Elephas maximus indicus: one gene and its partners. The protein of the gene in region 2 interacts with the protein of the main gene of each other region in a pairwise test. Links are inferred from orthologs where the notes say so. Each region holds a gene or a part of one and is shown on either strand. Other genes may lie near its edges.

The links.
Region 1: the proteins of UBE2I (region 2) and MAPK1IP1L interact in a two-hybrid assay, tested with the Homo sapiens proteins (3 studies listed by BioGRID and IntAct). The two-hybrid records come from large-scale screens. The link is inferred for Elephas maximus indicus from reciprocal best matches to the Homo sapiens genes UBE2I and MAPK1IP1L.
Region 3: the proteins of UBE2I (region 2) and RNF4 interact in a two-hybrid assay, tested with the Homo sapiens proteins (3 studies listed by BioGRID and IntAct). The link is inferred for Elephas maximus indicus from reciprocal best matches to the Homo sapiens genes UBE2I and RNF4.
Region 4: the proteins of UBE2I (region 2) and SETBP1 interact in a two-hybrid assay, tested with the Homo sapiens proteins (2 studies listed by BioGRID). The two-hybrid records come from large-scale screens. The link is inferred for Elephas maximus indicus from reciprocal best matches to the Homo sapiens genes UBE2I and SETBP1.

What each region holds. Positions count from the first base shown.
Region 1 is NC_064828.1:67,342,422-67,349,254, reverse strand, and holds the start of MAPK1IP1L (MAPK-interacting and spindle-stabilizing protein-like), read right to left. Parts: upstream 3,026-6,833; 5' UTR 2,866-3,025; intron 1-2,865.
Region 2 is NC_064830.1:58,456,653-58,463,477, reverse strand, and holds the start of UBE2I (SUMO-conjugating enzyme UBC9), read right to left. Parts: upstream 3,015-6,825; 5' UTR 2,875-3,014; intron 1-2,874. UniProt on the Homo sapiens protein: Accepts the ubiquitin-like proteins SUMO1, SUMO2, SUMO3, SUMO4 and SUMO1P1/SUMO5 from the UBLE1A-UBLE1B E1 complex and catalyzes their covalent attachment to other proteins with the help of an E3 ligase such as RANBP2, CBX4 and ZNF451.
Region 3 is NC_064823.1:161,337,209-161,344,290, forward strand, and holds the start of RNF4 (E3 ubiquitin-protein ligase RNF4), read left to right. Parts: upstream 1-4,057; 5' UTR 4,058-4,167; intron 4,168-7,082. UniProt on the Homo sapiens protein: E3 ubiquitin-protein ligase which binds polysumoylated chains covalently attached to proteins and mediates 'Lys-6'-, 'Lys-11'-, 'Lys-48'- and 'Lys-63'-linked polyubiquitination of those substrates and their subsequent targeting to the proteasome for degradation.
Region 4 is NC_064829.1:53,290,899-53,298,178, forward strand, and holds the start of SETBP1 (SET-binding protein), read left to right. Parts: upstream 1-4,255; 5' UTR 4,256-4,450; intron 4,451-7,280.

The DNA.
Region 1 (6,833 bases), on a different chromosome or scaffold from region 2:
CTCACCTTAGTCCTCCAAGTGACATCTTTGCTTTTTTAACACTTGAAAGACGTCTACTGCAGTAGATCTGCCCAATGTACTATTGTTTTATTTGAGTGCTGCTTCCACGGGCATCAATCCAAGTAAAATGAAATCCTTGACAACTTCAGTTGGTCCAGTTGTGAGAAATGACTTCTTTATGTTGAAGTGTAATCCATATGGAAAAAGAAAACCCCCAAACCTGTTGCTGTCAAGTTGATTCCTACTCGCAGTGACCCTATAAGACAGAGTAGAACTGCCCATAGGTTTTCCAAGTAGTGGCTGGCAGATTCGATCTGCCGACCTTTCGGTTAGCAGCCAAGTGCCACCAGGGTTCCATACTGAAGGCTGTAGTCTTTGATATTCATCAGTAAATGCTTCGAGTCCTATTCACTTTCAGAAAGCAAGGCTGTGTCATCTGCATATTGCAGGTTGTTAAGGAGTCTTCCTACAATCCTGATGCCCTCTTCTTCATATAGTCCAGCTTCTCAGATTATTTGCTCAACATACAGATTGACTAACTACGGTGAAAGTATACAACTCTGATGAACCACGTAGTATCGCCTTGTCCTGTTTGAATGAGTGCCTCTTGGTCTATGTACAGGTTCTTCACGAACATAATTAAGTGTTCTAGAATTCCTACTCTTCATAACGCTATCCATAATTTATTATGATCCACAGAGTTGAATGTCTCTGATGGTCAATAAAACACATATAAACATCTTTACAGTATTCTCTGCTTTCAGCCATGATCCATCTGATATGAGCAATATTTCTCATTCCACGTCCTCTTCTGAATCTGGCTTGAATTTCTGGCAGTCCACCGTCGATGTACTGCTGCAACCATTTTTTTAGTTATCTTCAGCGAAATTTTACTTGTGTGTGATATTTATGATAGTTTGATAATTTCCATATCCTGTTGGATCACTTTTCTTTGGAATGGATCTGGTTCTCCAGTCAGTTGGCCAGGTAGCCGTCCTCCAAATTTCTTGACATAGAGGAGTGAGCAACTCCAGTGCTGCATCCATTTGTTCAAACACCTCAACTGGTATTCTGTCAATTCCTGAAGCCTTGTTTTTCCGCCAATGCCTTCAGTACACCTTAGACTTCTTCCTTCAATACCATCAGTTGTTGATGATATGCTACTTTCTGTAATGGATGAACCCAGATCAATTCTTTTTGGTACAGCAACTTTGTGTACTCCTTTCATCATCTTTTGATACTTCCTGCATCGTTCAGTATATTACCCATAGGATCCTTCAATAGTGCAACTCGAGGCTTTTCCTTTAGTTCTTTCAGCTTGAGAAATGTAGAATATGTTCTTTCCTTTTGCTGTTCTAACTCTAGGTGTTTGAACCTTTCATTATAATACTTTATCTCCTTGAGCCACCCTCTGAAATCTTCAGTCGAGCTTTTCTACTTCATCATTTCTTCCATTCGCTTTAGCTACTCTACATTCAAGAACAAATTTCAGAGTCTCTACTGACATCCATTTTGGTCTTTTCTTACTTTCCTATCTTTTTAATAACCTTTTTATTAACTGATCCCCACTTAAAGTGAAGAGTCAAACCTATTGCCACACAAATATTAATGCTGGATTATCAGGTTGTGGAAACCCTGGTGGCGTAGTGGTTAAGTGCTACGGCTGCTAGCCAAAAGGCTGGCAGTTCGACTCTGCCAGATGCTCCCTGGGAACTCTATGGGGCAGTTCTACTCTGTCCTATAGGGTTGCTATGAGTCGGAATCGACTCGACGCCAGTGGGTTTTATCAGCTTGTTGTCCCTTAGCCCTGCCGGGAGTTTTATTACACACCTAGGCACCATATTATCTTTCTAAAATCTAAAAATTTCTGAATTCCAAACATAGTGACCCCAAGGGTTTGGGTTAAGGGACTGGGGGCAGATATTACCATTCTGCCTGGAGAGAGGAAAAGAACAACTAAGTCTGTGAGGCAGACTAGTTTTGACTAGGAAGCAAGAAAAATACCTATTCTTCTTGCCCAAAGAACACTACTGAACAAATTCCTTCTGAAGGCTACCTGTACTGAGGTTTTCAAAACAGGGCTTTATAACCATCAAGTGTACAAGTGTGTAAAAAAATTTTCAGTCAAGTGAAGTTAGTTTGCTGCTGCATTAGCACCTATTGTCTATTCTTGGTTTCCGAGGTCAAAGACTAGGCTAATTATATAAACTACAATGCACAATATGGGCTCCTCAGCCCGAAAGAGTCTTACAGAACTCAGCACCTCTGGTAGTTTCTGTCATGGCGATTCATCTGATGTATCTGTTAGCAACTCTTCTAGTCAGAAATAAGCACAACGTTGTCACAACTGCGAAATCTTAAATAAGCGCCAGAGATTCCTCTAAGGCTCGATGCGAGTATTTCGCTCCCTTTTCGTTAGAAATTAATGAATTCAGAGGGTCAGGGCCAAGGGGCACGAGGCTGGCAGCCCTTTGGGACCAAATGAACAAAGAGAATGCGGGATTGACGAGAGCGAACCGGCCACGGAGCGGGTCGCGCTCGCCGAGTCGGGGTGGGGGAGGGGCAGGCCAGCTACCCGCCTCCTCCCCCGTCCCCCGAGCCAGGCCTGACATCGAGGGCGGACAAACCCGCCGGGCGTGACGTCACCGGCCTCCGACGCCTTCTCCTTGGGGGTGATCCGGGAGGCGAACCCGCAGCGGGGTGGCCGAGAGAATCTTACGTGAGGAACCACAGCCCAAGCACTGGAGATGACTCAAGGCACCTCGGTTGCCGCGCCCGCCTCCCGCTTGGGCGCGCCCGCCAGCCCCTCAACCTGAGCTCCCCCGCCACCCTCTACCACCATCACTAGCGCCGAAGCAGCCTCACCCGGCAAGATCCGACCCCGAAACAAAGTCTAGAGGCGACGATGGGTCCCAGAGAACTGGGCGCTGAAGAACCGAACGCAGCCTGACTGACGACAGCAGCAGCTACAGCACTAGCGGCGCGCGGCTCCTCCTGGCGCCGGAACAGGAAGCGCCTCACGCCTCGCGCGCTGTCCCCGCCTGCGCTCCTCCTCCCGTCGGGCTGGGCCGCGCGCGCCCCCTCAGGCCCCCGGCGGCACTGCGGCTCCCCCTAGCGGCCGTAGTGGAGCGGCTGTTCTCTTGATGCAGCGGAAACTTCCTCGGTTTTCCGGAGCTCTGAGGACTCGGAGGAAACGCTTGTGACTGGTGAAGTTCAGGGCAGCCAGGCGGAAATTCCTGATTTGTTGCGTTGAGTGGCTTGAGGGCAGATTCTGGATTCCCTGCACTCAGCGGTTTTTACAGCCAGGCCTCGAAGCTGGCTAGGTGTGTATGCAGCCAATTAGCGGCCCGATTCTGGGAGACGCAGATACCCTCAGTCAAAATTGAGAAGAGCTAAAGGAACAATGCAGAAAAGGGAAGACGTTTGGAAACGGATTGATAATTGATATTAACTAAAGGAACAGTCATCTTTTCAGATTTTTCCTGATCCATGTTTTTCCCCACACCTTCTTTATTGAATAAACATTTATTAAACATCTACTCTATCAGACCCAAAGAGTGATTAGGACATGGCCCTAGTCATCAGGAGCCTGCAAGCTAGTAATGAAGATGTCATAAGTATATGGTGTGCAAAAAATAGCAAGAGCTAGATATTTAGCCGAGAGACTATGGCCCTGAAATACCCTTCTAACCTGGAACTATTTCCGGAGGCCACTTTCAGGCCAAACTAGAGAAAAGCCCATAAAATAAACAATAACACCAGAGAGGAACGTGTTACTTACAAAAACAATAATCAATTATAGGTGATCAAAAGGGCAACATTTGCCCAAAGGCAAGGATGAGAAGGCAGGAAGGGGTAGAAAATTAGGACGAAAGGAAACAGAAAACCCAGAGCAGAAATGGGGAGAGTGCATGACATGTGCTGGGGAATGAAACCAAGACCATGAAGCGATTTATGGTGCAAACTATGAAATGGGAATATAATTTGCTCTGTAGGCTTTCACCTAACATACCAAAAAGCAAACAACCAAAAAACAAACAAAAAAACCAAACTCATTGAATGCTACACATAAAGTGAATACATTTTTACTGTATGTAAATTATATTATACTTCAATAGTCTATTTTTAAAAAATAAAAAAAACAAATACAGGCATGCCTACTTTTACTGTGCTTTGCTTTATTGCACTGCACAGATACTGCGTTTTTTTTTTTTTTTTACAAATTTAAGGTTTGTGGCAACCCTGCATGGAGCAAGTCTATTGGAGCCATTTTTCCAACAGTATGTGATGACCTCCTGTCTGTGTGTCACATTTTGGTGATGCTCACAATATTTCAAACTTTTATTTTTACTGTATCTGTTATGCTAATCTGTAATCAGTGATCTTTGATGTTACTACTGTAATTGTTTTGGGGCACAGCAAACCACGCCCATATAATACTTTGAACTTAATCGATAAATGTTGTGTGTGTTCTGACTGCTCCACCGACTGGCCGTTGCCCCATCTCTCTCCCTCTCCTAGGACCTACCTATTCCCTGAGACATGACAATATTGAAATTAGGTCAATTAATAACCCTACAATGGCCTTTAAGTGTTCAAGTGAAAAGAAGAGTTACACATTTCTCACTTTAAATAAAAAGCCAGAAATGATTAGGCTTAGTGAGGAAGGCATGACGAAAGCCAAGACAGGCCTAAAGGTAGGCCTTTTGCGCCAGTTAGCCAGGTTGTGAATGTGAAGGAAAAGTTCTTAAAGGAAATCGAAAGTGCTACTCGAGTGAACACAGGAATGATACCAAAAACTAAAATCAACTGCCATCGAGTTGATTCCAACTCATAGCGACCCCATAGGACAAAGTAGAACTGCCCCATAGAATTTTCAAGGAGCACCTGGAGGATTTGAACTGCTGGCCTGTTGGTTAGCAGCCATAGCACTTAACTACTCTGCCACCAGGGTTTCCAAAGGGAAATAGCTTTACTGCTGACACAGAGAAAGTTTTAGTGGTCTAGATAGAAGATCAAGCCAATGACAACGTTCCCTGTCACAGATTGAATTGTGTCTCCCAAAAATATGTCAACTTAGCTAGATCATGATTCCCAGTATTGTGTTGATTGACCACAATTTTGTAATCTGATGTGATTTTCCTATGTGTTGTAAATCCTGTCTCTATGATGTTAATGAGATGGGATTAGCGGTAGTTATGTAGACTGACTCTACAAGATTAATCTACAGTTTAAGCCAATCTAGTCTAAGATATAAAAGAGCAGAGAGACAGGGGGACCTCATACCACCGAGAAGCAAGAGCCAGGAGAACAGTGCATCCTTTGGACCTGGGGTCCCTGTGGTGAGAAGCTCCTCAACCAGGGCGAGATTGATGACAAGGACCTTCCCCCAGAGCCTACAGAGACAAAAAGCCTACCCCTAGAGCTAGCACCCTGAATTCAGACTTCTAGCCTTATAGACTGTGAGAGAATGCATTTTTCTTTGTTAAAGCCATCTACTTGTGATATTTCTGTTATAGCAGCACTAGAAAACCAAGACATTCCTTTAAGCCAAAGCCTAATGAAGAGCAAGGCCCTAATTCGCTTCAATTCTATGAAGGCTGAGGGAGGTGAGAAAGCTGCAGAAGAAATGTTTGAAGCTAGCACAGGTTGGTTCATGAGGTTTAAAGAAAGAAGCCATCTCCATAACATAAAAGTGCAAGGTGAAGCAGTACGTGCTGATGTAGAGGCTGCAGCAAGTTATCCAGAAGATCAAGCTAATTGGTGAAGGTGGCTACAGTAAACAACAGATTTTCAGTGTAGATGAAACAGCCTTATACGGGAAGAAGACGCCATCTACGACCTTCACAGCTGAAGAGAAGTCAATGCCTGGGTTCAAAGCTTCAAAGGACAGGCTGACTCTCTTGTTAGGGGCTAATGCAGCTGGTGACTTTAAGTTGAAGCCAATGCTCATTTACCATTATGAAAACCCTAGGGCCCTTAAGAATTATGCTAAATCAACTCTGCCTGTGCTCTATAAATGGAACAACAAAGCCTGGATGACAGCACATCTGTTTAAAACATGGTTTACTGAATATCTTAAGTCCACTGTAGCAAGCTACTGCTCAGAAAAAAAGATTTGTTTCAAAATATTACTGCTCATTGACAATGCACCTCATTGCCCAAGAGCTCTGATGGAGATGTACAAGGAGATTGATGTTGTTTTCATGCTTGCTAACACAACATCCATTCTGCAGCCCGTAGATCAAGGAGTAATTTTGACTTTCAAGTTTTATTATTTAAGAAACACAGTTTGAAGGCTATAGCTGCCATAGATAGTGATTCCTCTGATGGATCTGGGCAAAGTCAATTGAAAACCTCCTAGAAAGGATTCACCATTCTAAATGCTATTAAGAACATTCATGATTCATGGGAGGAGGTGAAAATATCGACATTAACAGAAGTTTGGAAGAAGTTGATACCAACCCTCATGCTTGACTTCGAGGAGTTCAAGACTTAGTGGAGGAAGCAACAGTAAATGTAGTGGAAATAACAAGAGAGCTACAATTAGAAGTGGAGCCTGGAGGTGTGACTGAATTGCTGTAATCCCATGATAAAACTTTAACTGATGAGGAGTTGCCTCTTACGGATGAGCAAAGAAAGTGGTTTCTTGAGATGGAATCTACTCCTGGTGAAGATGCTGTGACCATTGTTGAAATGACAACAAAGGGTTTAGAATATTACCTAAACTTGTTTGATAAAGCAGCAGCAGGGTTTGAGAGGATTGACTCCAATTTTGAAAAAAGTTCTACTATAGGTAAAATGCCATCAAACAGCATCACATGCTACAGAGA
Region 2 (6,825 bases):
AAGGGCTGGGGCCGAAGTAAAACTCAGGAGCTGGCAGCACGGCGATCCTGGGAGTCCCTGTGCCGGACCTGCCACAGCCTCTGCTCCAATAATGGAACAGAGCTGCCCAGGGAGGCCCATCCTGGCGCCTCTGACCATGTGAAAGATAATAGGGGCAGTTCTGCAAAGTCTCAGTGCCAGAGGTGCCTGTAAGAGCCCAAGAGCCCCTCTTCCCACCCTGATGGACCAGATCACACACAGAAAGAATGCTTCAGCATCAAGACAAAGAACTAAAGGTGCAAACCCACCCCCATCCCAGGCAGAGGTTGGGCCCCCAAGATCCGCCCGTCCGTTCCTAAAACCACCACTGTCAGGAGAATGCAGGCAATTGTTACATCTTTAATTATAACAAGTAGCCACGATCCTAATCCCACTTAAAATCATCGAATCTACCTTCCTCAATGCAAGGAAACTCAGTTAACGAGTATTAAGCGTTACCAGGCACTTCAGAGCAGGACGGTTACGATGCAAAGGCTCTCACTGTGAAGTGCTAGAGACAGGCAGGGTAAAAAACACCCCACAGGGCGGACCCCAGGCAGAGCCTCCAAGACCTGCACCTCCACCATCCTCCTGGGCTTCCAGCGGGGCTGTGCCTCTTAACATGGCTCTTCTCAGATGAGGCCTCGCTAGCTGAGAACTTCACTGCTACTTCCTGGCTGTGGGAGTGAGGGCAAGGTTCTTATCTCTCCTCAACCTCAACTGACTCATCTGCAAAAAGGGTGATAGCCAGGGCTTTTCCATCCCAGATACACTGAACCAGAATCCACATTTAACAAGATCCCCACATGATTTTTATGTATAACTTCCTAGGAACTCGAGATGCAAACTCTCAGCAGGAAACTTGTTAGAAATGCAAATTCTCAGCAGTGGCTGGTTTAAAGCCCTGGATTCTACTAAAGATGAAACAGATAAAGAAAAAACAAACCAGCAAACCCAAACCCACTGCCTTGGCCCTTCTCCATCCAAATCCAAAGGCTTCCAAGCCTGGGACTCCCATGTGGGACCAGGTGGGGCATAAACAAAAGCACCCACCTCTGCAGGCCCAAGCACCCGGCACTCAGGAGAACCTCATGCCTGGGCTGCACCCCTCCAGTTCTTTCGTGGATCTACCTCAGGACCCCAGGCTGTCTCTGAAGCAAGGTCCCAAACCTCGAGACACAGCTGACAAACCCAGTATTTCCACCCTGGCACATGAGGGTGCAGAATTCATTGCTTAACCACTGAAGAGGTTTGGGGTCGGATTTCTCTGTAGAAAAATCAGAACAAACACAGGATCAATCTCTGCTTCCAGTTGGATAGGTCCTCCATGCCAAAGCAACATTTTCTTAATGCAGTAAACCTGCGAAAGCCGGAACCTGTGTAAGGTGGAAACCTGTCAGAAAAAAAGAATTAAGAATATTTTTCACTAATAAAAAAAACAAACCCATTGCCATCGAGTCAATTCTGACTCACAGAGATCCTACAGGACAGTAAAACTGCCCCACAGGGTTTCCAAGGAGCGCCTGATGGATTCAAACTACCAGCCTTTTAGTTAGCAGCCACAGCACTTAACCACTATGCCACCTGGGTTTCACTAATAGAGAACGACAAAAAAGTGGTGACTGCACACTGTCGAAGGCAGAAAACTTGCGAGACCAGGAAAAACAAAATAGTCCTGTCAAGTTCCAGCTCTCACAGATTCTCCTGTAGCAAAAAACATTTAGGTGAAACATCTTTAAAATAGAAATAAAAAAAATACAGTAACTTTGCAAACTGAAGAACTAAACATAATTTAAGATTACAAAAACCAAAAGAGTTGATTTTGGGATTTCAGGGTGACTGGAGGCCCCCAGCAAGCGCCCAACTAATCACTCCCTTCCCTTGCTCCTACTCAACTACCTACCAGTTCCAACCACCATTTAAGTGGTACAAAACAATCTTAAAAACTCTCCCTAAAGTGAGGCGCTCATCTTCAGACTCCCACCAACTCCACAACACGGACAGCCGCTACAGCAGCAAGAAAACTTAGCCTTGTTTTGAGATTTGAAGACACCACAAACAGCATCCCCCCGTGCCTCCCCCACCAGGGGCCCGCGATTTTGCAACGAAAGACTTTCAACTCCCTGCTGTCCATTCTGTCCCTGGCTGGAAGACGCCAGACGTTTGCTGTCCATCCCTGTGACCCCGGAAATTAATTTCCCCAAAGGTAAAGGAGCGCTTCGGGTTGGTGCGGCCGTCCTCCAGAGCCGCATTCCTGTCAACACCGGCCTCAGCTCTCCCAGCTCCGGAGCTACGGGCTCCTTTCCGCTCTCCGCGCGCCACACAGCACCTCTGCAAGGCCGCCTGGCGCACCAGAGAGAAGGATGTTCCCCCCTTTTCAGGAAAGAAAGTGATGGGAACTCCAGGAGCGCGGCCGGGACGTGACCCCAGAGAACCACGGGGACGCTGTCCACCCGAAAAACCCCACGCTGGGAACGAAGGCAGGACGGCCCGGAAGCTCATCCCGTAGCCCGGCAGCTCACAACTCGGCGAGCAGAATTAAGTTTCGAAGCACAGACAACCTTCCCTCTCAGCCCCTTCCAGAAGGTGAGAGAAAGCCCAGCCCCGTCCGCCGCGGACTGCGGGGTCCCGACCGCGGCCCGGCATCGGGGAGGCGGGCGCTGGGCGGGCGGGCGCGGGAGGGGTAGGCCGCTCGCCCGCCCTAGGACCCCGCGCCCGACCCCGGCCAGGCCCCGCAGTCCGCGGCCTCCCCACCGACCCTACGCGCCTGCCGGCCCGGCGCCCCGTGGCCCAAGCGCCGCCCGGCCTGATCCGGCCGGAGGCTCCCGCGGTCTCCGCCCTCCCGGCCGCGCTCACCTCCGGCGGCCGCGGCCCGGCGAGTCGCGAAGAGCGGAGAGCCTTGCGACGACGGAGGCGACGGAAACAGCAGCTCTTCTCTTTGTCTCGGGACTTCTCTCCCGAGCCCGCTCCGCGCGCAGCCTGAGCAGCTCCGAGGACCCCGGCGCGGGCGGGGCGGGGCGGGGCGGGGCCTGCGCAGGGCTGCCCGCCGCGCGCCCGGCCCGCGCGCAGCTCTTGCAGCCCCACGTCCCGCGCCGCTCAAACTACCGTGCGTCCTCTGCCGCCTGCGGCCGTCCGCCGCGCGCCCGCGGCCCGGGCCCTCCCCGGGAGCCCGGTCTGGCGCCGACTTTCCCGTCAGGCGAAGGCCTAGACACCTGCGCCCTTAAAGGAGCCGCGTCCCCAATTTGAGGGAGCGTCTAGAAACTCCTCCTCGGGAAGCGCGCGTCCACCCGAGGACACGCCAGCAAGCAAGGGGGGAAATGGGAGACAGAGATCGCCAAGAGCTCCCCGGATGCCCGGCGGATACCTCTCCGGGCATATATCCTGGGGGTCTCCTTGGGGTCAAGGTCCGGCGCTGGCGGGCAGAGACCACTGAGGCCTAAGGAACCCCCAAGCGTCGCAGGACGGTGACGATCCCCCGAATACAGAGCCCTGTGAAACCTCTTGCGATTGGCCAGTTCGAGACCCTGGCCGGGGCGTCCCTGGAATCTTCCCAATGAGCTGAGGCCGTACAGAAAGCCGAATGCTTGGAGGATCGACGGGAGGGTAAGTGGGGATGGTCCCTAACCTGGGGGCCGGCCCTGGGTGGGGGAGGGGCGCGGGACCGCGGGCTCGTAGGGGAGGGGAGGCGGCGGCAGCGGGGGAGGGGAGGCCGCGGCGGCGGCAGCGGCAGCGGGGGAGGGGCGCTGCCCGCAGGACCCCGTTCCGCGCACCCAGAGTCTAGTTCTCGAGTCTTCGGTGTTTGCAACGAATGAAAGTATGGAAGTTTCGCTCGCAAACAAGTGGCCCTGCTGCGACTTCATCCCTCGTCGGAGTCGTTGTAGCCTCTCGTTCCCAGCAGAGCCCAGCGCCCCGAAGCCGGCTGGGCTTCTGAGACCGAACTTCACAGAGGGGGACAGGGCACCTTCTTCAGGGTTAACTCGCCTCCGGACTGTAATCCGAGGCGCTTTGGGGTCAGAAGGGACAGATGTTCTCAGAATCCCCCCTCCACCAGGTGTCAGCTCCGAGGACGGTGGGGGCTTGTGGGCTGGATGGCTGGGAAGGGGAGGCCAGCCGAGGAGGGGGAGGGACGGCCTGAGGTGCTCTACTGTTAGGTACTCTTTTATTCTTCTTTTCTACCTCTTTCCCTCCTTTTCTACCTCCAGCCTTTCTCTCCTCCTTTCCGTTCCTTCCTTCCCTCATTTTTCTCTGCCCTTCTTCCCTTTTTCTTTCCACCCCCAGTCGTCCTTCTCTCCTTCCTTCCTCCAGAGTCCCCTGGCTGAGGTTGTCGGGTCCCTGAAGTCTGTGGTCCACCTTCCTATCCCCTACAGCGCCCTCAGTGGGTGCTCCGGATGAACCCCATGCACTCCATCCATCCTATTGCTCTGAGGAAGTAAATGTGACTGGAGAGAAGTCCTAATCCAGTGTGACTGGTGTCTTTATAAAAGACAAGAGACACAGAGGGAAGATGGCTATGTGATCTGAGAGGCAGAGACTGGAGTGATGCATCCACAAGCCAAGGAGTGCCTGGGGACACCAGAAGCTGGAAGATGCAAGGAAGCATCCTCCCCTAGAGCATTCAGAAGGAGCATGGCCTGTGGACACCTGGATTTAAACTTCTAGCCAAACAAGAAATTTCTGTTGTTTTAAGCCACGAAATTTGTGGTACTTTGCTACCAAAGCCCCAGGAGACTAATGTCACTTGTCTTTAAAGTCCATCCTGACTCATAGTGACCCTATATGACAGGACAGAGCTGCCCCATAGGGTAATTTCTACCAGGAGCAGATTGCCAAATCGTTAATCCCGTAGAGCTGCTAGTGGGTTTGAACCTCGGACCTTTCTGTTAGCAGCTGCTTAACTCTTGTCATCAAGGCTCCTTAAGAGACTAGTACAGCCAGTTAAATTAGAATTTCAGATGCTGAAACCCACTGCCATTGAGTTAATTCTGACCCATCTTGTTGAGGGTCTTTCTCTTTTTCACCAACTCTCTACCAAGGATGATGTTCTTCTCCAAGGACTGATCCTTCCTGATAACATGTCCAAAGTATGTGAGTTGAAGTCTTGCCATTCTTGCTTCTAAGGAATATTCTGGCTGTACTTCTTCCAAGACAGATTTGTTCGTTCTTCTGGCAGTCCATGGTATATTCAGCGTTCTTCGCCAACACCATAATTCAAAGGCATCAATTCTTTGGTCTTCCTTATTCATTGCCTAGGTTTCGCATGCATATGAGTCGATTGAAAACACCATGGATTGGGTCAGACACACCTTAGTCCTTAAAGTGACATCTTTGCTTTTTAACACTCTGAAGAGGTCTTGTGCAGCAGATTTTCCCAATGCAATGCATCTTTTGATTTCTTGACTGCTGCCTTCATGGGCATTGATTGTGGTTCCAAGTAAAATGAAATCCTTAATAACTTCAATCTTTTATCCATTTGTCATAATGTTGGTTATTGGTCCAATTGTGAGGATTTTTGTTTTCTCTTACCATTAGTAATATGTATTGCATGTAATGTTGCTGCATGTAATTTGCTAATGTTATTGTTCTCAGATGTTCACTCTAAAATGTTCAGTTTTATGATTGACTGTTCAAAGCAAGCTATGGCCTGGTCTACAGTGAAGTCGGTATTGGTGTCTGGAGTCTTAAAAGGATAGAAAGCTGAGCAATGTTCAGCTCTAAGGACACACACAATTGAGCTGCGTTAGCGCCTGACAGCGGTTACAACTCTAGCTTCATTGTTCTGACTCTGATGCTGACTTCATTGTAGACCAGGCCTATGGTGTGATCTTATTCAGCATCTGGTACCATAAGAAGCATCAGTTGTTAATCTGAAGTTGAGTTGTTCAAGTTTCTCTAACTCACACTTGTACTGCTTATACCCCCAACAATATGTCTAGTAAAAGAAGTCAAGCCGCTGAAAGTTCTAATCCAAAAAAGAAGGTGAGGAAGGTTCTAGACATGGATATAAAAATGAAGGTCGTTAAGGCCTGTCCAATAATGAGGAAGTTGTCAAAAAATTTTACAGTGAAAGGATTAGCTGACTTGTTTTCTGAACTAAATCATGGTCTTCAGTTGCTTGACAACATGGACCCAAATGCTGATCGCTCTGCTAAAGTCGATAGGCAGATTTGGGAAGCCGAGATACGTTACCAGGAAATATATGAAGAAAAGGACCATACAGACTACTCTCACTAATTTTCTGACTAGAAACGACATCTCCATTCCCAGATATAATCCAGATGATCCAGAACCTTCCACAAGTGAGTTACCACAACTGACAAAATGCCAATGTTGTCCAACTCTTCTTCGTAGGAGTAAATTTTTATGATTTGTGTATTTTTTGTATGTATTAAAATATATCTGTAAGTTTACATGTATGTTTCCAACCCCCAAAGAGAAATAAAGATCAGATTTATAAAGATACTGATAATAAAAGGCAATAATAATGAAAACTAAAAAATTAGGTATTTGATTTACATCAGGACTGACTTATGACTAAGTTGTTGGAACAGAACCATTTTAAGTATGGGACTACATGTACAGTGAAATCTGTGAGAGCTGGAACTCGACAGGCCTGCCTCATTTTTCTGGGTATCGCAAGTTTTCCACCTTTGACACTTTTGTACCACTCGTTTTAGTGGGAAATGTTTGAGTTTTCCTTCTCTGACAGATTTCCACTTTACACAGGTTCTGGCTTTTGCAGGTTTTATTGTACTAATATTCCTTATTCATCTGAAACTCAAACTTACCAGGGCATCCTGTATTTTAATT
Region 3 (7,082 bases), on a different chromosome or scaffold from region 2:
AGTCAGGGAGAAAGTGCAGGACCGAGCAGCGTTTCATTTTGTTGTGCGTGGGCTAGCCGTGAGTTGGGACTGACTCGATGGCAGCTACCGAGCAGCGTTTCATTTTGTTGTGCGTGGGCTAGCCGTGAGTTGGGACTGACTCGATGGCAGCCGCCAACAATATTGGCAATGACGCTGGCTGGCAGGTAACAAGGTCCCTGACTACGTACCACACTCCTGAACCTGGACAGCTGCTCAGAGCTGGCTTGCCAGCACCTGGGGACTCTTCCAGGTACTCTGCTCCTACAAACCTGAGTTAGAGCAGGCCTTGGGCCATTCTCTAGAGGATGTGGCCTGAAGGCAGCCCTTATGTGGTAAACGTCAAAAATGTCTCCTTGTACCCATGCCTTTGCCATATGACTTGACACCTCCTCCCACCAACACGTGAAGTCTGATTCTCCCAGCCCTTGAATCTGACTTGCTTTGGCCAACAGGGTACAGCAGAAGTGGCTGTGTGCCATTTCTCAGCTTGGGCCCCAAGTGGCCTTGGAACTTCCACTTGCTCTCTGGGAACCCACCCTGCTACCATGTGAGCAGGCCCAGAGTGGTTTGCTGAGGAGAGGGACCATGTGGAGGAGTTGTCCCAGGGGAGCCCTTCCTAGACCACCCTACAACCAGCTGACCTCCAACATGTGAGCCCAGCCAGGAACCAAAACCATCCAGCTGACTTGTAGACTCATGAGCAACAATAAATATCTATTATTTGAAGCACTGAGCTTTGGGGTGATTTTGTTCGAAAGCAATAGCTAACTGATATACCCTCAAGGGGTCCACAGTCTAGACGCCTGCCTCCCCACTTCCTGTATGAGCCCTTAGAAAGGGGATCAGCCAGGGGGGCATAAGGTCTAGCTGGTGCTGAGAAAGCTCTCTCTGAACCTTTATTTGCTGGACTGCCTAGAGAATTGACATTCTGCTTAAGTGAATTTTCTGGGTAAGTGCAAGTTAGCCAGAAGACCCCTGCTGACAATGTCTGAACTCAGATAGGCAGGGGTTCTTATCTTGGAGTTAAAAAAGCAGACTCTCACGCTCCGTCCACAGAGATTCAAGCTCTAGGGTGAAGCCCAAGTATCTGCTTCGAACCAGCTTCTATGAGAGGGACTGTGGGCATCCCAAGGGGCTAGTCTTTCCTCTAAGCTGGGGACATTTAGCAGGAGGAGGGAGCCAGGGATACTCACACTGTAGGTTCAGTGTCAAGGGAGGTTTGGGAGGCCACGGAGGCAGCTTCTGGGCATGAGAGTAACATTTGTAATGACTGTTTTTCAACATCACATTTTCAATATATTAAAATTATAAAGAGAAAATCCTAGCTTTTTCTTAAGCTTTGAAATTCAAATTACGAATCTTATTCTATTTATAAGTCTGATTGTTTTTAACTATCATTTTGATTAATCACTGACGGGCCCATTTATAAACTGAAATTCCCTTAAGCATTTTAAACTGCATTTATAAATGTAAAATCTGATTTTAACATTCCAGTTGTTTGACTTCCCAAGTGTTTAAATAATTTTAATAGATGTATTATATGTATATATCTCTCTTAAATTTACAAGTTCTCTTAAACATTCCAATTACGATCACAAACATTGGAAAAAGCTTTTATTTTTTCAACCTAAAATCACTATCAGATACTCAACCACATAATCTACATTGGATCACATTTATGTCAGACATTCCAACATGCCAAGTTCCCTTACTACCTCATAAAGTATCAACACACAGATTGTTGACGGGTAACTCAAAAATACTAATGCTCTGTTTTTCATAAGGGGCCCTGGTGGCTAACCAAAAGGTTGGCGGTTCAAACCCAGCAGCCTCTCCGAGGGAGAATGATGTGGCAGTCTGTTTCCATAAAGATTACAGCCTAGGGAGCCCTATGGGGCAGTTCTACTCTGTCCTATAGGATCACTGAGTCAGAATCAACTTGTCGGCAATGGGTAAGCGGTTCCAGATCTGCTTTGTCGTTGCCACGCATAGCTCAACCTTCCAGGATTAAAGACCTTCCCCCCAAGGAAGGAGTCCATCCCAGGGCATTTGGGGTGACCTTCTCACTGCCAGAGGGCGCCTAGGGACCAGAGATGATAGCCATGGCCTGAGTATTCTCAGGACAAGAGGACAAGCTGGGCTCTCTTTTCTGGTTGCCATGCCACGTTCAAGTCCAAACCTGGTGCCTAGACTCAAGCCCACCACCCGATTTACTAGTCCAATTCTGGTCTGCAGCCCTTACCAGCCAGGGGGCTAGCATGCACGTGTGCAATGCTGCATTGAATCTGCCCCACATTACCCCTCTGAGGTGGATATTGTCCCCCTATAACAGGTGAGGGCATTGTTGAGACTTGCTTAAAGGATGGAGCTGGGATTCCAATTCAGGCAGGAGGGGTTCAGTTTGCGACCTTTTGAACCCTAGAGTTGCCCAAGATATCCCAGAGGCCACTGAGCTCCAGGCTTCTGCCACCAGGCTGGCCTCGGCCATGGCCCCTCTCCCAGGGGACAGCTCAGGCAGAGGTGTTCCTGCACAGGTTCAGGTCCTCCTTTCCCCATGATTTAGGAGATAATATTAGAGCCATTATTCCATCCTAGAATGTGACCCAGCTGGAGCTGGAGTCACAAGGACCCTGAGGTATAAAAACAATAGCTAGGACAATCTTGGAAAACACCTTTCAGGGAAATTTTCACATAAACAAATCATAAATGGAGCATAAAAGACCCACATAGTTTCCACTCTTATCTTGTTCTATTAGCATTTAGTGAATAGTAAGATTTGTCAGAATAGTAAAGACCCTCCAGACTGTTGTTACTGAAACCTGTACCAATGATTATTAAGAAAGACTATTCAAAACATATGATCACATTTTCTAGCCAGCCTGTGAAAAGGTGAAACTTTCAACAGTTTTGCCCATTTGTAACGTTAATGTATACTGATGGTTCTGAAACATTCCTTGGACTCTGACAGACTTGGCTCTAGCAGCCATTCTTTCCTATTCTGTACTATATCGTTGGACTCGGGCAGATACGGCTCTAGCAGCATGCTTGTCCATTTTCCCATTCTTGCTTATTCTGTAATATTTCTTTGGACTCAGGCAGACATTACCTCTGGCAGCATCCTTGTCCGATTCCTACTTTTGCGTCTTTGAATATATGCCGGATAAAACCTTTCTTTTTGTTTTACTGCACTTTGTCATGTTTCTACCCAGAGCACCTACACCCGCGGGCCTAGCGATAGTCCACTGTTAACCTGGCCCCTGGCCCTGTCAGACCTGACTCTGCCTCCCCCCCCCAGCTGCTCCCCATCTCTGGGCGTCGGGCGCTGCGAAGCCTTCCGTCCCTGCATTTGCCAGTCAACCTCTCCTCCTTCCCTCCCTCACTCCAGCTTCAGGGACACAGGGCTCCCTCTTCTGGAACCCTCTCCTTCCAGCCCATCAGCTCTCAGCTCCAGAGTCACCTTCTCCCGGGACCCCTTCCAAGACCCCTGCAGCGGGCTGCAGGTCCAGGCCCCGCTTCTGGTGGAAGGTCAGGCTCCGAGCCGCGCCAGCCTGGGGGCCCGGTTCCCAGGCGAGGAAGCTGGGGCCCAGAGAGGGGCGGGGGCGGAGCCGGGATTCCGGCGGCGGAACGGCCGGGCCTGGGCTAACGTCCAGCCGCGTCCGGCCAGGAGCACGGGGCTGGTGTCTAGGGCTGTCACCCAGGCGGGCACTCGGAGCCCTCCAGGCTCCGGAGACCTCGAGTCGGGTCGGCACCGCCGGGAGCCGCGGTTTCAGCGCTCCGCCTGGCCGCAGACCACAACTCCCGAGAGGCCTTGCGGCGGGCCGGGGTCGAGAGGGCGGCTCTGCCCGGAAGGCGGGAGCTGGAGCACGCGAGCGTGGGCGGGGCCGGAAGGAGGCGCGTTTCAAAGTGGTAATAGATGGCTCTTTTATCCAATAGCATTGAAAATATCCCCACTGACCCGACGGGCCGAGGGCTAGGGGCGGTGACTGCCAATAGGGACGCGAGGGGGGCGGTGCCACGGCCTCTAGAGCGGAAGTGGACCGCTGGTAGGCGGCGGCGTCTGGCTGGAGGAGTGCTCCGCGGACGCTGTGGAAGGGTTTCTCCGTCTGGTCGCGCTGCCGGCGGAGGGCCGGACTAAACCCGCTCCAGGTAAGGCCCTGCGGCGTGGGGAGGGAGCGGCAAGTCAGCGTCCGGGAGGATTCGGGGCTCGCCGCCTCGCGGCTTGATGAGGCCTCAGCGCCCGCGGCTCAGAGTAGCCTCGGCGCGGCGCTGACCGGCTCAGGGCCCCGACGCCGGGCCTTTCCCCGCGATCTCGGGCCCACGTGGACGCCCGCTCTGCCGGCCGCACGGACGGACCGAGCCCGGCGCGTCAGCGGAAGTGGGGAGGCCTGGGTCTGCGTCTGGGCGCCCCCGGCGGGCGGCGCCGCGGGGCTTAGTCTCTAACTTGGGGGGGAAACTGAGGGCTCCGGACGCGTCCAAGGTCACTCGGGGAGTGTGGGCAGGACAGGCCAGGGCTCGGGGCTGTGCGGCCGCTTGGGGAGGCCTCGCGCGGGGTTTTTGTTCCCCACCGACGGCGCCTCCTTTGTGCGCTCGCGCCACCGCGGGTCTGGGCTCGTGGGCCCCGTGGGAAAGCCTTGTCTGGGCATGAACGGGGCGGAAGACGTGTGGGCGGCCGCTCGGGGAGCGCTGGGGGCCTGGCCCTGGGAGCGCCCCGCTCGAGCCCCGGCACCCAGTGGGCCCTCGGCACCGGGAGCGCCTGCCGACCCCGCTGGTGGCTGCGGCCAGGCCTGCCTGCCCCCCGCCCCTGCAGCGCTCTGCGCCCCTGCACACAGGTGTCGGCAGACTGACCCCAGACACCGTGCTCGGTAGACAGCTCTCCTCCTCCGCCTGTGGGTCCTTTGAAGAGGAAAGGAAGAGTCGGAGCCGTTTTTGCGGATATCGGGTTTTGTCTCACCCTCCAGCTGCCCCTCGACGTTGGCGATCACACCTCCTGCTTCTGCCCCCAGTTGTGGGATCTAGTCCAGCGGTCTCGGCTCTGCAGGCTTGCCTTGCGCCTAGGCTGCCGGGGCGATCCGGGAGACTGAGGCCCACAAAGGTCAGGCGGTCCGCCCAAGGGTGCACAGCCAGGTTCCTGACTGCAGAACTAAGCTTCTGAGGTGAACGACCAGGAGTGCTGGGGCCGCCAGCGATCAAAGGGTATCGAAGGGAGAATCATTTCTTCTCGTGGTTTGGTTTGGAAGAGGAGGGGAGACTTGTTTGGCTCACTTTTATCTGAGTTTGAGGTAAAAATGGGAACGTTCAAATGGAAATATATTGCTGGCTTTCGTATTGCCTGAATTTGAGCGTCCAACTCTGATGCAAAAATCTTTAATATAATGTTTTCTAGACCTTTTTCATTTGTTATTATCGTCAGCTCTCTAAGGGACCTTTGTAGATGTATTTTTTTCTCTAATTATTTTCCCCTATGAATTTTTTTTTTTAACTAACGTGTTCTAGGTGAAAGTTTACGCAATGAATTACCCCTTCGTCGAATCGACTTGATGGCAACGGGTTTGATTATTTTTTGTTTTTTAATGGTTACAGTTTTTACTGTCAGCATTCTCATTACTGGTGTTCAGTTTGTTCTGTTTCCACTGATCCAGCTTCACTCCCCCTTCTTGCCTTCTCATCTTTGATTTTGGGTAGATGTTGACCGTTCGGTCTCACGTAGTTGTTTAAGGGAGTACAGTCCTCATGAGTGATATTGTTTATTTTACAAGCTGATCTATTATTTGTCTGAAAGGTGAATTGCAGAAATAGCTTCAGTGACAAGTTCTAACGGTATCTTAGAGCAGTAGTCTGGGGGGATTTCTCTGGTCTCTATCAGTCCAGTAGGTCTGGCCTTTTTTTTTTTTTTTCAGGAATTTGTGCTTTCTACGTTTTTATCCCATTCAATCCACGACCTTCTGTTGTGTTCCTGGTCAGAACAGTCGGTATTGGTAGTCAGGCACCATCTAGTTCTAGTTCTGGTCTCACGTTAGAAGAGGTGCTGGTTTGCATGGGCTTTTAGTCCAGTGGAGTAGTTTCATCTTTGAGACTTTGATTTTCTTCATTTTCTTTTGCTCTATATAGGTAGAGACCAATAGTTATATTTTAGATGTTAAGCTTTTAAGATCTCAGATGCTACTCACCAAACTAGGATGTGGATCATGATCTTTGTGAATTACGTTATGTCAGTTGATTGTGTTCTGAGACTGTGGTCCCAAGTCTTTTAACTCAGTAAACCAATCCTGCAAGTTGTTTGGATATGTCTAGAAAGCCTCTGAAAACTGCCCCTGTGTGGTTTGTTATATATGCAGATACGTATATGCGTCAACCACAAACGTGCGTAAATGTACGTGTATGTGTCTACAGATACATCTGTGTGCGCGTGTGCATTTGCTCTCATGTTTTTCTGTATGTATATATTTGTCCGTATCTACCTGCTTTAGTATCCTAAGTTAGCACATTTTTGAGGTCTTCTGAGGTCTGTTCTTGGAAATGGTTCTGAGAGACATGCAGCAAGAGATAGGACTGGAAAAATAAACAGGGACCAGATGACCAGCGGTGTTTGGTGTGTCTCCACTTTGAGGAGTTTGGAATTTATTGTAAGGCCAGTGGAAAACCACTGAACTAAGTTTTAAGCACAAGGAAGTGACACAGTTAGAATCACATTTTAGAAAAAGCACTATGCTGTGAGAAGGATGGATTAGAAAGGTGGGTAGGACTAGTGGCCTAGGGATAGTTAGCGCCAGGATAGTGACTGTGGGAATGGAGTGAAATGGGTGTGTTTGAATCTGTGGAACTTGGTGCCTGTGCTTGTCAGCTGGCCAGTCATTCCAGTTCATCACTGGCTCTTAAAGGCTGTGAGCAGAGCCCACGTCCAGTAGTTCATACCCCCATTGGTTTCTGGAAAAGAGTTGAGGGTGCTGCTCAGTAAGTAATTGGCTTATACGCAGTATAAAAGTGAATTTGTAGATTCATTACGTGTGTTGGCAGTGTCCGTCTTTATTGAAATGGTTTACCTACAGTTAACTGTCCTTAAA
Region 4 (7,280 bases), on a different chromosome or scaffold from region 2:
GTATTTAATATATAATGTATTATATGTAATTTAGAAGCATGTGTTATGTTCTGGTGATTCAAAGTAGAAATCAAAGCACAAAATACTAATGCCAATCATTCTCTTTTTATATATTTGTTTACACACATATAAATTATTTTCAAATTAATGATAATTACATTAATATGATTATTAATAAACTATAATTTATTGTAATCATATATTTTGTTGTTGTTAGTTGCCATTGAGTCAATCCTGACTCACGGTGAACTCCTGTGTCCAGAGTAGAACTACTCCATAGGGTTGTCAAGGCTGTGACAACAAATTGCTGGGCCTGTCTTCCAAGGTGCCTCTGGGTGGGTTTGAATCTCCATCCGTTCAGCTAGTAGTTGAGTGTTTAATCCTTTGTGCCATCCAGGGACTCCTAATTATATATGAATAGAATAAATATCCTATATATATGTATGGTATCTTTTACTATTTTATTTCATATCATATATATTACAAATATACATTTAAAACATATATCACATATTTTATATCTATCTATCTATCTATCATCTATCTATCTATCTATCTATCTATCTATCTATCTATCTATCTATCTATCTATCTATCTATCTATCTATCTATCTATCTATCTATCTATCTATCTATCTATCTATCTATCACAAACAGTGACAGGACCTCCCCTTTCTTTCCCCTCAACTCACTTCTCATGACCAAAGGATGGGCTAGTTGTAAGAAAGGTCCCCTGGATGAGAAGTCAGGGGGCATGGAGTCTATTCATGGCTTTGCCATAACTGTGGGACCCCAGGCAGTCCATTTAATCTCTTTCTCTTGTTTCCTCAACTTTAAGATGATGGGATTTGACTAGGTGATCTCCCAGATGGACTTTTACTGCACCAACTCTATATATCCTTACCATCTATTATAGTGAATCTTTAATAAGGCATGTGCTTTTCTGAATTGCTTTTCAAGTAAACAGAACAACCCAGGGGGACCCGTGAATATGCCTAGATGATAGGACGGAAAGGACCTGGGCAACAAGCTTTAGTTCTGGCTCAGATGATACAGCCAGCTGTGGGACTGGAAGCAAGTACTTCTGATTTCTGGGACTCAATTTCCCCATTTGGAAAGTGTAGGAAGCGACCTATATGATATTTTAGCTCTCCACAAGCTTTGATCTATGATTTCACAATCATTTACACAAGCAAATGGGCAAATGTCATCTGAATAAAGAGAATGGTAGTTTGACATTAGCATTTTGTGCTTTGATTTCTATTACGTAACACCAGCTCATAACCCCGGCAGATTTTTTTTTTCCCCAAATTAAGCATTACTTTTCTCACTACTAACCATACATGTTGAAAGCGAAGAGCACTCGAAGCACTTGCTGGTGAAAATCAAAGACTACAGCCTTCAGTATGGATTACATGTCAACATAAAGAAAACAAAAATCCTCACAACTGGACCGATTACATAATATCATAATAAATGGAGAAAAGACTGAAGTTGTCAAGGATTTCATTTTATTTGGATCCACAATCAACATCCCTGGAAGCAGCAGTCAAGAAATCAAACAATGTATTGCATTGGGCAAATCTGGTGCAAAAGACCTCTTTAGAGTGTTAAAAAGAAAAGTTGTCACTTTGAGGACTAAGGTGCCCCTAACTCAAGCCATGGTGTTTTCAAATGCCTCATATGTGCATGAAAACTAGACCACGAATAAGGAAGACCAAAGAAGAATTGATGCCTTTGAATTACGGTACTGGTGAAGAATACTGAATATACTATAGACTGCCAGCAGAACAAACAAATCTGTCTTGGAAGAAGTACAACCAGAATGTTCATTAGAGGTGAGGATGGCGAGACTTGTCTCACATACTTTATACATATTATCAGGAGGAACCAATCCCTGAAGAAGGACATCATGCTTGGTAGAGTAGAGGGTCAGCAAAAAAGGGGAAGACCCTCAGTGAGATGGATGGGCACAGTGGCTACACCAACGGGCTCAAGCATAACGATTGTGAGGATGGTCAAAGATGAGGCAGTGTTTTGTTCTGTTGTACATAGGGTCGCTATGAGTCAGAACCTACTTGACAGGACCTAACAACAACAACAATGGTGGCACAATGGTTAAGTGCTTAGCTACTAATCCAAAAACTGGCAGTTTAAACCCACCAGCTGCCCCATGGGAGAAAAGATCTGGAGGTCTGTTCCTGTAAAGGTTACAGCCTAGGAAACCCTATGGGGCGGTTCTACTCTGTCCTATAGAGTCATTACGAGTAGAAATGGACTCAAGGTAACCCAACAACAACCCAGCCATACTCCAATATAAAAGCTAGCAAAAGATCTATCGAAACCTTGCTCCAACCCAGGTCTTCTAATGATGACTAACAGAGGAAAAGTTTGTGGCTAATCAGAATATTCTTCTGAAAAAAAGATGACATCAGGGCTCTTGGGTCAGAGACAACTGTACTGTCTATTCAGGATCAAATTGAACCCCATCCAGAGACCCCACCAGAACAGAGCTGGGGGGCATCCTCTGACCCAGACTCCCTCCACCCCCCACTTCACTGCAAAATTCCTGTGAAGAGTGATGAGACCTGAAGAAGTTCCGAGACCAAACCAGCAGTTGAACCAGTTAAGCAGTGGCTGACATGGTTGGTGAAGGCACACCCCACACTCACCCTCCAAATCGTTCCTCAGTCCAAATTTCCAAAAACTCTCTTACAGAACCTGGTAGTCAGGTATCCTCTCAGAATGAGTTCTGAGTAAACTCTACCTGGAGGACTTTAAGCAAAACCAATCGTGTCTGTCCTATATTGTTCTATAATGTAGAAATGTCCCTGCAGGGTTCGATTCCTCAGTTGTCCTGAAAAGGCCTTATATTGCAGCCCAAATTCAAATACTCAAAGAGATGAAAAATACCACATTTTGGTAGAAACTGAAGACACTCCACCTTGTTCAGTCCCACCACCCTGAATAGGGAACTGCACCGGAACATGCCTTTATCATCTCTCCTCGACCTTCTCCTCATCAAGACTACACTTCTTGAGAATAACGAAAAAATGCACATGAGCACCCGAATGCATACATGCACCTTACCAAAAAAAATAAATCCCTGAGAGTGAAATGTAATTACCAGGGTAAAAAAAAAAAAAATGCACCCAGTTTCCAGAGCCTATCACATCTTGCGCCTCAGAGCAGCTCCCCCCAACACTGCTCCTGTTGTGTCAGATAGTGGCAGTGTTGAGCCCGGGAAGCGGCGCCGAGCCCGCGGCGGTCCCCGCGGCCGCCCAGTCTCCGCGCCTGACTCCGGCGCGCAGGAGCTACTGGGCCGCGAGGGCGCTGGGGAGCGGGAGGGGCGCGGGAGGCGGCGAGCGGTCCCCGAGCGGCCTCCACGAACTGTTTGCCTTCTCCCCCTGCCAGAGCTCCGCTCCCTCCAATTGACCGAAATCCCCCGAGCGCGGGGGTGGCGGGAGAGGTCGCTCGCTCGCTCGCTCCAGGCTGCACCTCCCCCGGCTCCCGCGGGAAGCGGCTCCCGGGCCCGGGAGGGAGCCGTGTGGCCGCCCCCTCCGAAGCAGCTGGCGGGGTGGCGGTCCCTGCTCTGCTCGGCCGCGCCGCGCTCCGACCCTCCCCCTCCCCAGCCCGCGCCCTCCCCCTTCCTTTCACTAGGACTCTGGGACTCGGGAGAGGGCGCGGGAGGCAGGCGCACGGGCCCGACCCCACTCCAGCGCGCGCCGGGACGCGGCGGGCGGCGAGGGGCGCGGCGGGGGCGCGGGGCGGGCGCGGCCATGGAGCGGCGGCGGCGGCGGCGGCGGCAGCACTAGCGAGCGCTGCGGACGAGCAGCGGCAGGGCCGCCCGGCGCCGCGGCCCCAACTGCACAGCTCAGCAAAAGCGCCCTCGCCCTACGCGCGCCGCCTCTGCGCGCCGGAGCCCGGCAACATTTTTGAAAGCTTCACTCCATCCTTGGAAGAACGGGGGGGTGGGGGGGGGGAAGCAGTGACCGGAGAGACGGGGAGAGAGAGACATAATTTTTTTTTTTTTTTTTTTGGCTCCTGCTAAAATTAGCCGGGCTCTCCGCGCGCCGTGCGAGTGTGAGCGAGTGTGTGTGCGTGCGGCGTGTGTGTGTGTGAATGTGATTACTCCCGGACTCCTCGGGCTCCGGAGACGCCATTTTCCCCCTTGATATCTCTCTCCAGAAATCGGTGGCGCGGCGGAGGCGGCCGCGCCGGGCGGGAAGCGCGGGGCCAGCCGGGGCGCCCGCCGCTCGCCGCCGCCTCCGCGCGCCCGGGGGCCCTGGCGCCCCCCCGAGCGAGGGCAGCCCGCCCGCGGCTTGCCGTTTGACAGATGCTCATCGCCATGGAGTTGCAGCAGCAGCACCTTTGGGGGCTCGGCCGAGCGACCGGAGCCAGGATCTGAGCGAACACCGGGGCCAGCGGAGCCGCTGCTGCCGGGACATGGGTGAGCACGCGCGGCGACCTTGGACAGGGAGCCCGGCGCCTAGCCGCCTGCCGCGCCGCTGGCCCCGGTGCGCCCGGGGCCGGGGGCGGCGTGTGTGCCCAGCATGCAAAAGTTCACATTGCCTCGCCGGGGCTTTGACTTTGCACCGGGCGGGAAAGGGGAGACAGGGCGGAGGAGCCGGGATGCGGTTCCCGGTCAGGTTGCCGGGGCTGGGCGCGATTCTGGGCGGCCCGCGGGTGGGCAGCGATGCTGGCTCAATTGAAGTGGCCGGTTGGCGGCTGCGATAATGGAAGCGTCGGGCTGAAGGGCTGGGAGCTTTTTGAGTTTCGCCTAATTGGGCCCCCCTCCCCCCTTGTGCACCCTCCCTTGGTCCCGCCGCCAGCGGCCTGGGCTGGAGCGTATGGCTTTGGTGAAGTGGACTGGACTGGTCAGCAGGATGGGGCAGGGAAGGGGCTGGGAAGGCGGCAAGATATATGCATCCATACACACATACATATATATATATATATATACATTTTGCTCTCTTTGTAACTTGCAGGTTAAGTGGAGCTAGAGAGCTGCATTGTAACCTAGTTGGATTTTTTTTTTTTTTTGAAGGGGGTGAGGGGAAGGATGCGTCAGAATCTAACGTGTCCTTAGTAGAGGAACAGGGGAGAAGTGGTCCAGTCAGCGAAGGTTGGTGTGTGCTTGTGTTGTGGCTGTGTGTTAGTCTTTCTACGAGAATATTAATCAATGGATGTGAGTTTCTTGCTCGTGCTCTCCAGTTTTGGGACTCTGAAAAGACAGGAATTCCCTTAAAAGCAAGACGAATGCCTTTTTCTTTTTCTTTTTTTTTTAAAGCACGCATTGTGTGTGTGTTTCCAGAGGAGCCGTGGGCTTGGGAATTAACGGCAGGCTTCCCCGTTCGGTGGTTTCCAGTGGGAAATCACTCCGGAAAGGGAACCCTTCAGTATCGATTTATTGTTTTTGTCTTTCCGACCATTATCCTTTTGACCAAAATACTCGCTGAGAAGTTCCACCGAGACAAAGTGAGGTAAACTGGACTGGGCAGATCTTTAGCAAGATGGTGATAACGATGATGGTGTTTTTGGTGTCTGTTTGTGATGGAAGCATTGTTGGGTAATAGCAATTTCTGATCGGTACAGCATGCTGATTCTTAAAAAAAAAATTAGTTGCTGCTGAAATGCTATCTTCCTGTCCCCCTTCCCTACACTCTGCAAGCGCCCCCTCCCCGGTAGAACAATTCTGAAATCCGATCCAAGTGGAAATATTTGCATTGGAGATCGGAAAGTAGTGTAATTGGAAGTAGGAGATAAGGCTGGAGCTGCTAGGGGTGTGTGTGGGGGGGGGGCGCGTATTGCCTCCAATGCTGCATTTATTCTTTATGTGCGTCTGTGCGGGGTGTGTGTGTATCTGTCTAAAAGGACTGTTGAGGAAGGATTTCCGATTCGTTTCCGCTTCAAATAAACTGTCCTGATAATCTCATGGTTGACGTCTAATGGCTAAAAGGGCAATTTGTGTGTTTCTTTATCCCTGCAGCAGCTCCCCTCCAGAAGGGCAGTTTATTCTGGGATTCTACAGCAGCTACTCTTCCTTGCCAGTCCCTATTGCCCCCCACCTAACTATCCATACCTTTCTCCCTAAAGTTTGGTTGGAGTCCATGGTCTCTAAGGAAATACTGGGATTACTTACTCTTCTACATTGTTTTTCTTCACTTCCCTTTCATTCCTTCACTCTCTATCCTGTTTTTCTTCTTTTTCCTGTGGATTTGTACTAAAAAATAACGTCACAAAGTAGCTGTCAGCAATACGATCTGACAGTTTGGCCCCATCTCTTACCTCCTTTAGATTACACAGATAAATATGCTCTGCCCCTTCCAAACTCATCTTCAATGGCAAACCGGGTTTGTGTGTGTGCGTGGGGGTGGGGGTGGGGGCAGTGGAGAAGAGGGGGTGGGGGAGCGTGGAGAGGAAGGGTGTTGTTCTATGTCTGCCACATCTGCTACCCTGGGAAGAGACCTGGGCCACTGCAGGGAGAGTTTCCTTTGCACGTCCCAGTTAGATGTTGCTTGGCTAGGATTGGGAGGCGGGGCCAAGTGGCCTGCGGCGTGGAGGGCGGAGAAAGTTTGTAGCACTTTAAAATGTAGACAGTTTACAACACCTCCCTTTTCTCCAGCTTTCTGTGGCTTTCCTGATCCCTAAACTCCTGGAGGGAGGAGTGTTCTCATCTGGCCAGCCCTGGAGTCCCAGATTTCAGAGCGAAATTGAAGGTGCTGTGTTTTCGGGCTGCGCTTGATCAGATTGCCTGCTACCAGAAAAGAGTGTTAGAAGAGTGTTTGGGGGCAGAGCAGAAGAGGAGGAAGCCAGCAAGTGTGGTTGAACCCAGAGTATTTGCAAACTGTAGGGAGAGTAGCCCAAGAAGGTATGGAGACCTGGCGCTCAGAGAGTTCCGCTTGGCGCATGGCATCCCCCCTCCCGGTTTAGAATAAGTCTTGTTGGTCTTGGGGAGTTGAATTGGTTTAAGAGCTGGGCAGCGGGAGCTGCTAGCCACAAGAGTAACTTGAGCTGAGCTGGGGGAGGAGGTGGTGACTGCATGCAATCAGGAGCCAGAGGAGGGAACCTGAAGTGTCTCTCTTACCAGGGAAAATAGATGTGTCACTGGAATAAACAAACTGGAGGTGGGGGAGGGGATGGCTTGTAGTGAACGTTAGGAGGAGCTTGTAAGAGGCAGCAACCTTCGTTAGGAAGGGGGCCACTTCTAGCTGGGGAGAAAATATCAGCTGCCTTATACATTCATGACTGGGCTAGACAAGTGAAGGGTTGTTATCTGG